Linked DNA regions of Drosophila melanogaster. The protein of the gene in region 1 interacts with the protein of each later gene in a pairwise test. Each region holds a gene or a part of one and is shown on either strand. Other genes may lie near its edges. The genes, in order: CG4270 and CG30158.

What was found.
Region 2: the proteins of CG4270 (region 1) and CG30158 interact in a two-hybrid assay, tested with the Drosophila melanogaster proteins (one large-scale study listed by BioGRID).

The regions. Positions count from the first base shown.
Region 1 is NT_033779.5:2,261,672-2,264,825, reverse strand, and holds CG4270 (uncharacterized protein), read right to left. Parts: upstream 1,385-3,154; 5' UTR 1,269-1,384; coding exon 1,071-1,268; intron 1,011-1,070; coding exon 784-1,010; coding exon of another isoform or gene 780-783; exon of another isoform or gene 741-779; intron 730-740; coding exon 642-729; 3' UTR 585-641; downstream 1-584. Other genes in the region: CG34049 (uncharacterized protein), read left to right, coding at 1-54, 117-343, 406-559.
Region 2 is NT_033778.4:6,889,913-6,894,793, reverse strand, and holds the start of CG30158 (uncharacterized protein), read right to left. Parts: upstream 3,035-4,881; 5' UTR 2,871-3,034; intron 2,815-2,870; 5' UTR 2,768-2,814; intron 1-2,767.

The DNA.
Region 1 (3,154 bases):
AATCCCCTGAAAATGGATGAAAAACTTTGTTCCTATGCACAGGAGTGGGCAGATGTATGTAGATGTATTTAATATAAATAGATCCTTTCTTTTTCACCTAAACTTGATTTCCACAGCATTTGGCTGATCTGAACAAACTGGAAACTCGACCTAATCCTCTTTACGGCGAGAATATTATGCGTGTCCGGAGATCCAAATTCTCCGTGGATCAAATACTGAAACTCTGGTACCAAGAAAAATACAACTACGATTACTTAAAGCCAGGCTTTAATTTGTACACTGGACATTTTACCCAGTTGGTTTGGAGAGAGTCAGAGTTCCTGGGAGTGGGCGTGGCATGCGAGTGGGTTCATAATTTTAAGTCATACTAAAAATAATCCGAAACTAACTACATTTTACACGCAGTGTTTCCTCCATTTGGATTGTGTGCAATTACCATCCGCCTGGAAATGTAAGCGAACATTTCAGGGAAAATGTCCTGCCTAGAAAATTCCTTCTACTTAAATCGGACTTGGATGCCAAGGAAACTAGAAAATCGAAACATCACAATTTAAAATAGAAAATGGTAAATAAAACAAACAAATACTGGACCTAGATTACGCTTTTATTATGCTTAAAATTTTGATCAAAAAATCCCAGAGTTATTGCTTTGGCGGCACATTATCCTTGAACAAACCCACAACATTGCCGGGAGGATTGTAGTTGCAAACCACCCAAGTTCTATCCGCTCTATTGGAAGACATGTATGAATAGGATTACCATAGCCATAGCCATAAGACTCACTTTCGGGCCACACCCGAACCCATTTCCACCGACGACTTCCAAATGAGCTGAGTAAAGTGTCCAGCGGTGGGCACAAACTGCGCCTTGTTGAAATCGTAGCTATTGATTTCCCGATACCACATTTCCACCGGCAGATCACCGGTCACATCCATTCCACCGGAGAGGAAAATGTTTTCGCCGTACTTGGGATTGGGTCTGTGCGCCATTGTGTTCTGATCGCGGAGATGCTGGAAATGGGTGCAAATTAATATAAAATACTATAGAATACTCTTTATCCCTCATCCTACATTGGCCCATTCCTGAGCCAGCTTATTTAGTGCAGCATTAATGGTCACCGCGGGACAGCCGTGCATTGCCCGATATTTATTGGTGGTATTGAAGACCTCCTTCAGGAAGAGCTCGTTGTTGCCCTTGGTATCCTGACCCCTGGGACCTGGAGGGCGCTCGTGGGTTTTGGGAATGGGCGCTACGTTTCTCTTCGCCATATTTCTTTGGGGGATTGGCTGGCGCCGTGATTTAGTTAACCAAATTTACGTATGCCTAATGACTTTTTAAGCTAGCTGGCTAGATCAACATTTCTCGTTTTTAAGTTACAAAATTAAGTGGTTATTATACATGTATACAAGGCAGTCAATTAAAATTTTCACTGAGTTCTGAATAGCTCACCCATCAATCACAATGTTTTGTTTACAGCCGAAAAACCCTTTTTTCAAACCGCCTCATAATCTGGCCTAAACATCGGTATTAGCATTGTGATTGATACCGCAAACACAGGCTGTGGGTGACGGATTCACAGGACGTGTGCGTGCCCAAATCCATTGACGGGAATTAGACAGACTGTATCACACATCCTTCTTCTGCATCTGCCGATGGGATTAACCAACGTGACGTATGAGTGATGCATGTCACTGGGTTTGGTTATTAATGAGCCGGCGATTCTTTCGCAATCCAGCCATATGGCTGGATATGTAGGTGCAGGCAAATCGGGCAATTGGAGTGGCATTAATTGCCGACTGAATCGAGCTGGATAATGCGAGTTGGCCGACATGGAGGCCCCTTATCAATCGCCCGCAGCGCCGCCCATGGAAGTGCAAATTTCGATGTCGAAACACTCGGAATATTAAATTATTTAAGTGTGTGAGTGTGTGTCTGCGCTGCGGGTGGTGCTTCAAGTGTGAATCCCTAATGAGTTGTGCAAATGCAAATCAATGGACCGGCCGATGTCGCTGCTCCCGGCAGAGATTAAGCCGATGCTCCGATGTACAGATAGGCGGATACAGCCGCAGGACAGGCTGACTCGCTGAAATTATCCTGTGCGCCGCAAGGTGGATGCGGGGTCACAGCATTGCGTTTGATATACTCATGTGCCAGGCACTAAATTATGGCCCAGCTCATTGATTTATGTGAATTTGTGTACTAAGTACTTAAGTACTCGGCCATAAGCTTAAAGCTGGATAAAATAGTTTATTAAGCCGCGAATTTAAATAAGTATTAATGTTAATACAGATTAAAGCCAATTTGGTTAATTGGTAATATATAATTCAATCAATATCAAAGATTAGGATGAATTTCAATTCAATTAATCGGGAGCTCCCTTTTCCATTTCTTATTTTCATTTGCTCTATAGACAAAGATATTTTCGAAATGGATAAATGGCTCCATTTAAGCCGCTGGTAGAATTTCTGGTAATATTGTAATAAACTTTAAGCCTGCTCGCTGCATTTCAGGTTTCCATGGCCTCTGTCAGAAACGCGATGCACAGTCGCGTCATCCGCACAATGCACAATTCACAATTTCGGTGCCATCGGAGTTGGAAAATGTGTGGTTGGGTGGTTGGGTGGCTGGGGGATTGGGTGGTTCAGTGGCTGGGTGGCCAAATTGTTTGGGTTGTAAGCTGGCCACAGTCAAAGCGTAAAACGCAAAGCGCACACGTTACTTTTCTGTCGATTTAATTAATTTCGCAAATTTGGTTTCGTTTATTTATGCATTGCTGGTCGAGTGGAGGGTACAGTGCGCGCCATACGCAAAATAAATACACTCGCACTCTTATTTCGAGCATGCGGGCATTATATACATAGATGGTATCTGATATATCGTATCTGGTATCTGGGCAAACAGGCTCGCATTTCCATCAACCACACGGCATCCGGAGCCGGATGCACTCGGTTGCACATACGGATACTGCCTTTAATTCCGATTCCCATTGATTCGAATTGGTCATGTTTTGGCATAGGGTAAGTACCGCACAAAAAATGAATGCACAATTTAAAAAGTTCATTCTGAATTTGAAGCCAAACAATCTCAACTGCAGCCAATAAATGTATTCTTGTATTCCAGCAGATTTCATTGGTAGCATGCGTATTCCAATGTC
Region 2 (4,881 bases), on another chromosome or scaffold:
GCGGCCGCAACATCAAGAGCCTGCTCACCCACAAATATGCCGGCCGTGTGTGTGCCCAAATTTCAATGAAGCCATTGGCGGCCAAGAGGCTCACAAGTGCCGCCCGGAAAGAGCAAAAACTATTAAAATAAGTGGAAATGGAGGCATTAGGGCGGAAACACGAACTCGCACATAGGGCCAGGACCTGTTCTTTTCCGTCCTGTTATGTTCTGTTGCGAGAGAAGAGGACCGTTGTCAGGCCAAGTGGAAGCTTTGAACCTTTTATGTGCTTTTAATTTTAATACAACAAGGCGGGAGGAACAAAAACAATTTTAAAGGCGTGCAGTTTTGCCATTTTGCCAGCATTTAGTTGCCACTTTGGGTGCCACATCCCCCTCTCATCACCCCCCCCCTACTCTTCAGCTTTCGTGTGCATTTTCAATTTGCGCTTTGCATACGGATTGCAATTCATGCCAGCTGCCGGAATTCTCAGGGATAAGCCATTGCGTACCACAGTGCGTATGAGTGATGCGAAGTACACACTCAGCCACAGCAAATGGCTCGTTCTTGAAGGTGTCAGCTGCAACATCCAGAGCACTGTACTATGCCGAAGGTATGAAGGGCGAAATGCCCAGTTTATCAATTAAATAAGTCACATATAATTAATAGCCTTTACAGACAAGCGGCCTCTCGGGCTGCCTTGCGACTTGACAAGCGACTGTGAGTGCGGTGGGATTAATGAACCTCACTCAGAAGGCATGACTTTAATACCAACTCGATTGGACCAAAAGATGAGCAGATGCGAAGGCCAGCAGCACAGGGAGCGTAGAAATGCAAACTATGGTAAATGCCATCGCACTTCAGGCATCCGGTCTAGACTCCATTATGATAAAGTGTGCGTCCGAGTCGGGCGCTCCCCGAGGAGCTGCGCAGCTGGCACAGCTTAAGATACAATAAAAAAGCTGGCATACCTACGGGGGCATCTGCATAGCTGCCGTGTGTGTGTGTGTGTGTGCGCGCGCGTGTGTGTTTTATTCCCATTCGCAGTTTGGCAGGAAAACCGTTTAATCTAGCATAAACATATGGAGCACAATCATTTACAAGCGACTGTGTACACACATTGGGGGATGAAGGCGACAGGTGAGAGTGAGGGGTGGGGCCACGTCACCTAGGAGCTGCTCCCCCTGAGAATGCCTTTAAAAAGTCAAACTCGCGACTAGGCTTTATGTGAAATTAATTATACAATCTCGGAGGGAGTTAAGCAAACAGTTGCGGTTTCCGATTACCGAGGACCCTCATGTTGTTGGAAAAAACGAAAAACACAAACCCATTTTTTGCCGACTGTCTGTTGACTTTTCATCTCAAGAAAGAAATACTTGGAAAAACAATCGAAAAATACAATTAAGCGAATGAATTTCATGAAAGTAAGCTGTAAGCGTAGGCAATATGAGCCCAAATTAAAGTGCTGCTTTTTGCGACGTGGGTTCTTAGAAGTACTGACATGGAAATGGAAGACGAAGCGTTTCTTTGGAAATGGTGATACCTCTGAAGGAAGTGATAAATCTAGTGCAATTGGTCTCGACTTAAAAAGTATCAAAACCAATGAAACCCAATAAAGCCGTGGCTGCACAGAAGAAGAGAATTAAATTAAATTCTTCTAAAAACCTAGAAAGTCTCATTTAAATCAAATTCAATTCATCATCAGTCTGGGAACCATGGTATTATATTTTAACAGGGAATAAATAATCAAATGATATGCCTGGTCTCATGGGAACTGTTTGTTTTTGCCCCAAATTTCGATATAACTAAACAGAAAATAAACTTAGAAAAGTGTCGGATTTTAAGCACTCCTTGGCTCAGAATGTTTAATTTATCGAAGCAAATTAAAAATGCTTCAACATTTTAGACAACTTGCATTTGTTGCTTAAAGCGACATTGGAGTCCTAGTCTATCAATAACGAAAGTATCGAAATCGTATGGAATATGGAGTCCCCATAGAGCAATTTTCGTACGGGATAAAAATACATGTTAAATCCGATTATAGATCCACAAAACCAGTGCACAAATGGATTGAGCATGGCCATCGAGTCCCCCATCCACCTTTTATTTATTTGTCAAATTTAGAATTTATGACGGACCCTCACGGTGGATTTTCTAGGGGCTCCTAGGGGATGATTGTCACCCATCCCGCTTCAGTGCTTTCTGCCATGTGTGAGCTGTGTAATCGTAATAAAAATGCACAACATGGCACGGCTCCCATCCGCCCAGCCTCCTCCGTCCGGGACACACAAAAGGCAGATCTGGTGGCAACTTAGAGCTTACTTAGACATGTTAACTGCTGCGAAGACTCTTTGTCTCTACATGTCGAATAGGAAAGCGAAGGGAACGGAGCGAAACTTGCGGCGGCTACAAATTTAATGCGCTTACGATAAATTTTTATTATGCCAGCGAATGCTGCCGTTAAAATTGGATATCAAAGACGCACCTAGGGCTGGATGAAGAGTGGGAATTCGGCAGGTCAGGATGCGAGAAATTTGAATTTTTCGCCATAACCGCAACTTGTCCCGTTGGCAGGCACTTTAAAGTCGTTTCTTTTGCACTTGCACTCAGAACGTGCTTTGTTTTTCTGCCCCTGTTTATGCCTTAATGTGGCCATAAAGTGGAGGAGTTACTTGGACGACCCGGATGGAAGCATTCCGGGTGACCGCACTCCACTCCGCGCCGGACTGCTCCACCAAGCCTTAATAGGTCATAGGGATTGCGACGCAGTGCTGCGAGGTGGGCTTACCTGGCGTATACTTAATCACCCCGAAATAGCGACGAAACTGTGGTAAACTGCAATTCGGCACGTGAGATTGATTAAATTTCTGATTTATGTTCTGGTTATTCACCCGCACACAAAGCCACAGACACTCTGAACACCACCGGACGACGGACTAGGACGACAGAAGCATCGGTTGCTCCTGACACCTCAACCAAAATTTGTAATCCACTGCCGAAAGTCTCTGGGTTTCCACTGAGGAGCGCGTGCGTTGCTGTCTAGCAGGGAACTGTTTGGCAGCCAGCATGGGACTTTGCTTTTATATTCATCCAACAGGCCACGAGTGTTTGCCGCCAAAGCATTCAAAACACAACGTGTTGCAGGTTGTGGTTGCGAACAAGCAAACGCTACAGCGAATCAGGACGCAGGCGTCGGCAGGACAAAGCTAAGTTCCTTGCTCAGCACTAGCTGAGGTCTGAACCCGTGCTTTAAGCTTCAGTCGGATTATGGGTCTGCCCCTCGAACCTGCTCGAAAGGATGAAAGGCTTACCCCTACGGCATTGTCAGCTGCGGTCAGTTGGTAATAATTCCTGTGACAGTTCAATTTTGGGCAGACGACCCTAAGTTTGTTATTGGGGGATTGGCATCTATGTCCCAACTAAAACATTTCGTTCACTAAACATTGGTTCAGATTTTCGATACAGAAACATAAGAAGTACCCATCAGAATCTATACAAATGTTTACATATCTCGCAAAACATAATACAAAATACCTGAAATGGTAATTAAATCTAATGAGATGCAAAGAGTATCTCATGTCACGTGGAGATTTTCATTTAGATGCCAGCGGCTGCCACTGCAAATATTGACGTACAAATGTTAATTACCCACAGAGCCCACAAGCTGCCAAAAGGCAAACAGGCAGCCAAGGCGGCACACGGGGCGTATACTCGATAATTGTCGGCCAAACCTTGTTTACTTACTCCTCATTCTACGCCGAAACAGCTCGTTAATATTCAATAGCATGTATTAAATTCAAAGTGCTAACAAAGTTTTGCACTTTCCATCGCCCTGAGCGGAGATCCACACACTCGCAGGCTCGAAAAAAAAGGGACATCCGTCTCGACATGTCCTTTGGCCACGCAGGACGAGACAGGCCGCTTGACCGGCTGGCAGGAGGCATGTTCCAAGTATTTCATTAACCTGACTCGCACAGATACGCACATTGGCAGCTGCTGTCAGTGTGACGCTCTTCAGAGCATCAAATCGTCCTTCCGCACAGTCCTTTCTGACCTGCTCTTTGTGGGCGAGCGTGCGATGCCAGGACGAGCGGTAAATTGTGCCCAGTCTCCATTGGAGCGAACTGGGATTCTATTATCATTTTGCGGTAGCCAGTCCCCCTTTCACGTGGTCCGTGGGAAAGTGAAAAGTTTTGAACACCTTGGGTGCGCAGGGTCACCTAGAGTCTCGACTAGCCTGCTCTGGGTTCCAACAATGGGGATAACTTTCAATGGGAGTGCAGCGTGCATAAACACAATGCTCAACTTAGCAGCTTTCGAAATTAAATGCCAATTGCAAAAATGCAACATTCGGGACACAGAATGCGACACAGGAAACCCCAGGTAACCAATGTAGCCAATGCAATCAAAAACGCTCCACCTCCCACAGCCAGTTACGGCAAGGGTCCTTCTGAATGGCAAACGTGCGCATGACATAATTCCTTAATTACCAAACTTGTCAGACGCACTTAAAAGTGAGTTACAATTACAATTTGCCTCCACAATTGTCTGTTCCACGTTGCAGAAGGAGTAATCGTTTCGACCCTGCCACCTGCGGAGTTGCCCCCCCCCCCTCCCCCCACACGGTGTAGTTGGCACACACATCCTCAAAGGGAAGCTTTAAACACACACAGTGCAGCACAACTTTCGAGAGTCACAATAGTTCGCAAAAGTTAGGGTCTCTGAAACATAATGGTTAGCATGTTAAACTAGAACTCCGTTTACACCCATTCAAATGTGTATGTATTTTTTAACTATCTTAATATGACTCGGAGAAAACAAATTTTTGCAAAGTTGCTAATTTAATTAATATTTGCTTATAAACATTGTGAATACTACCAATTTAACTTGTGGCCCTGTAAA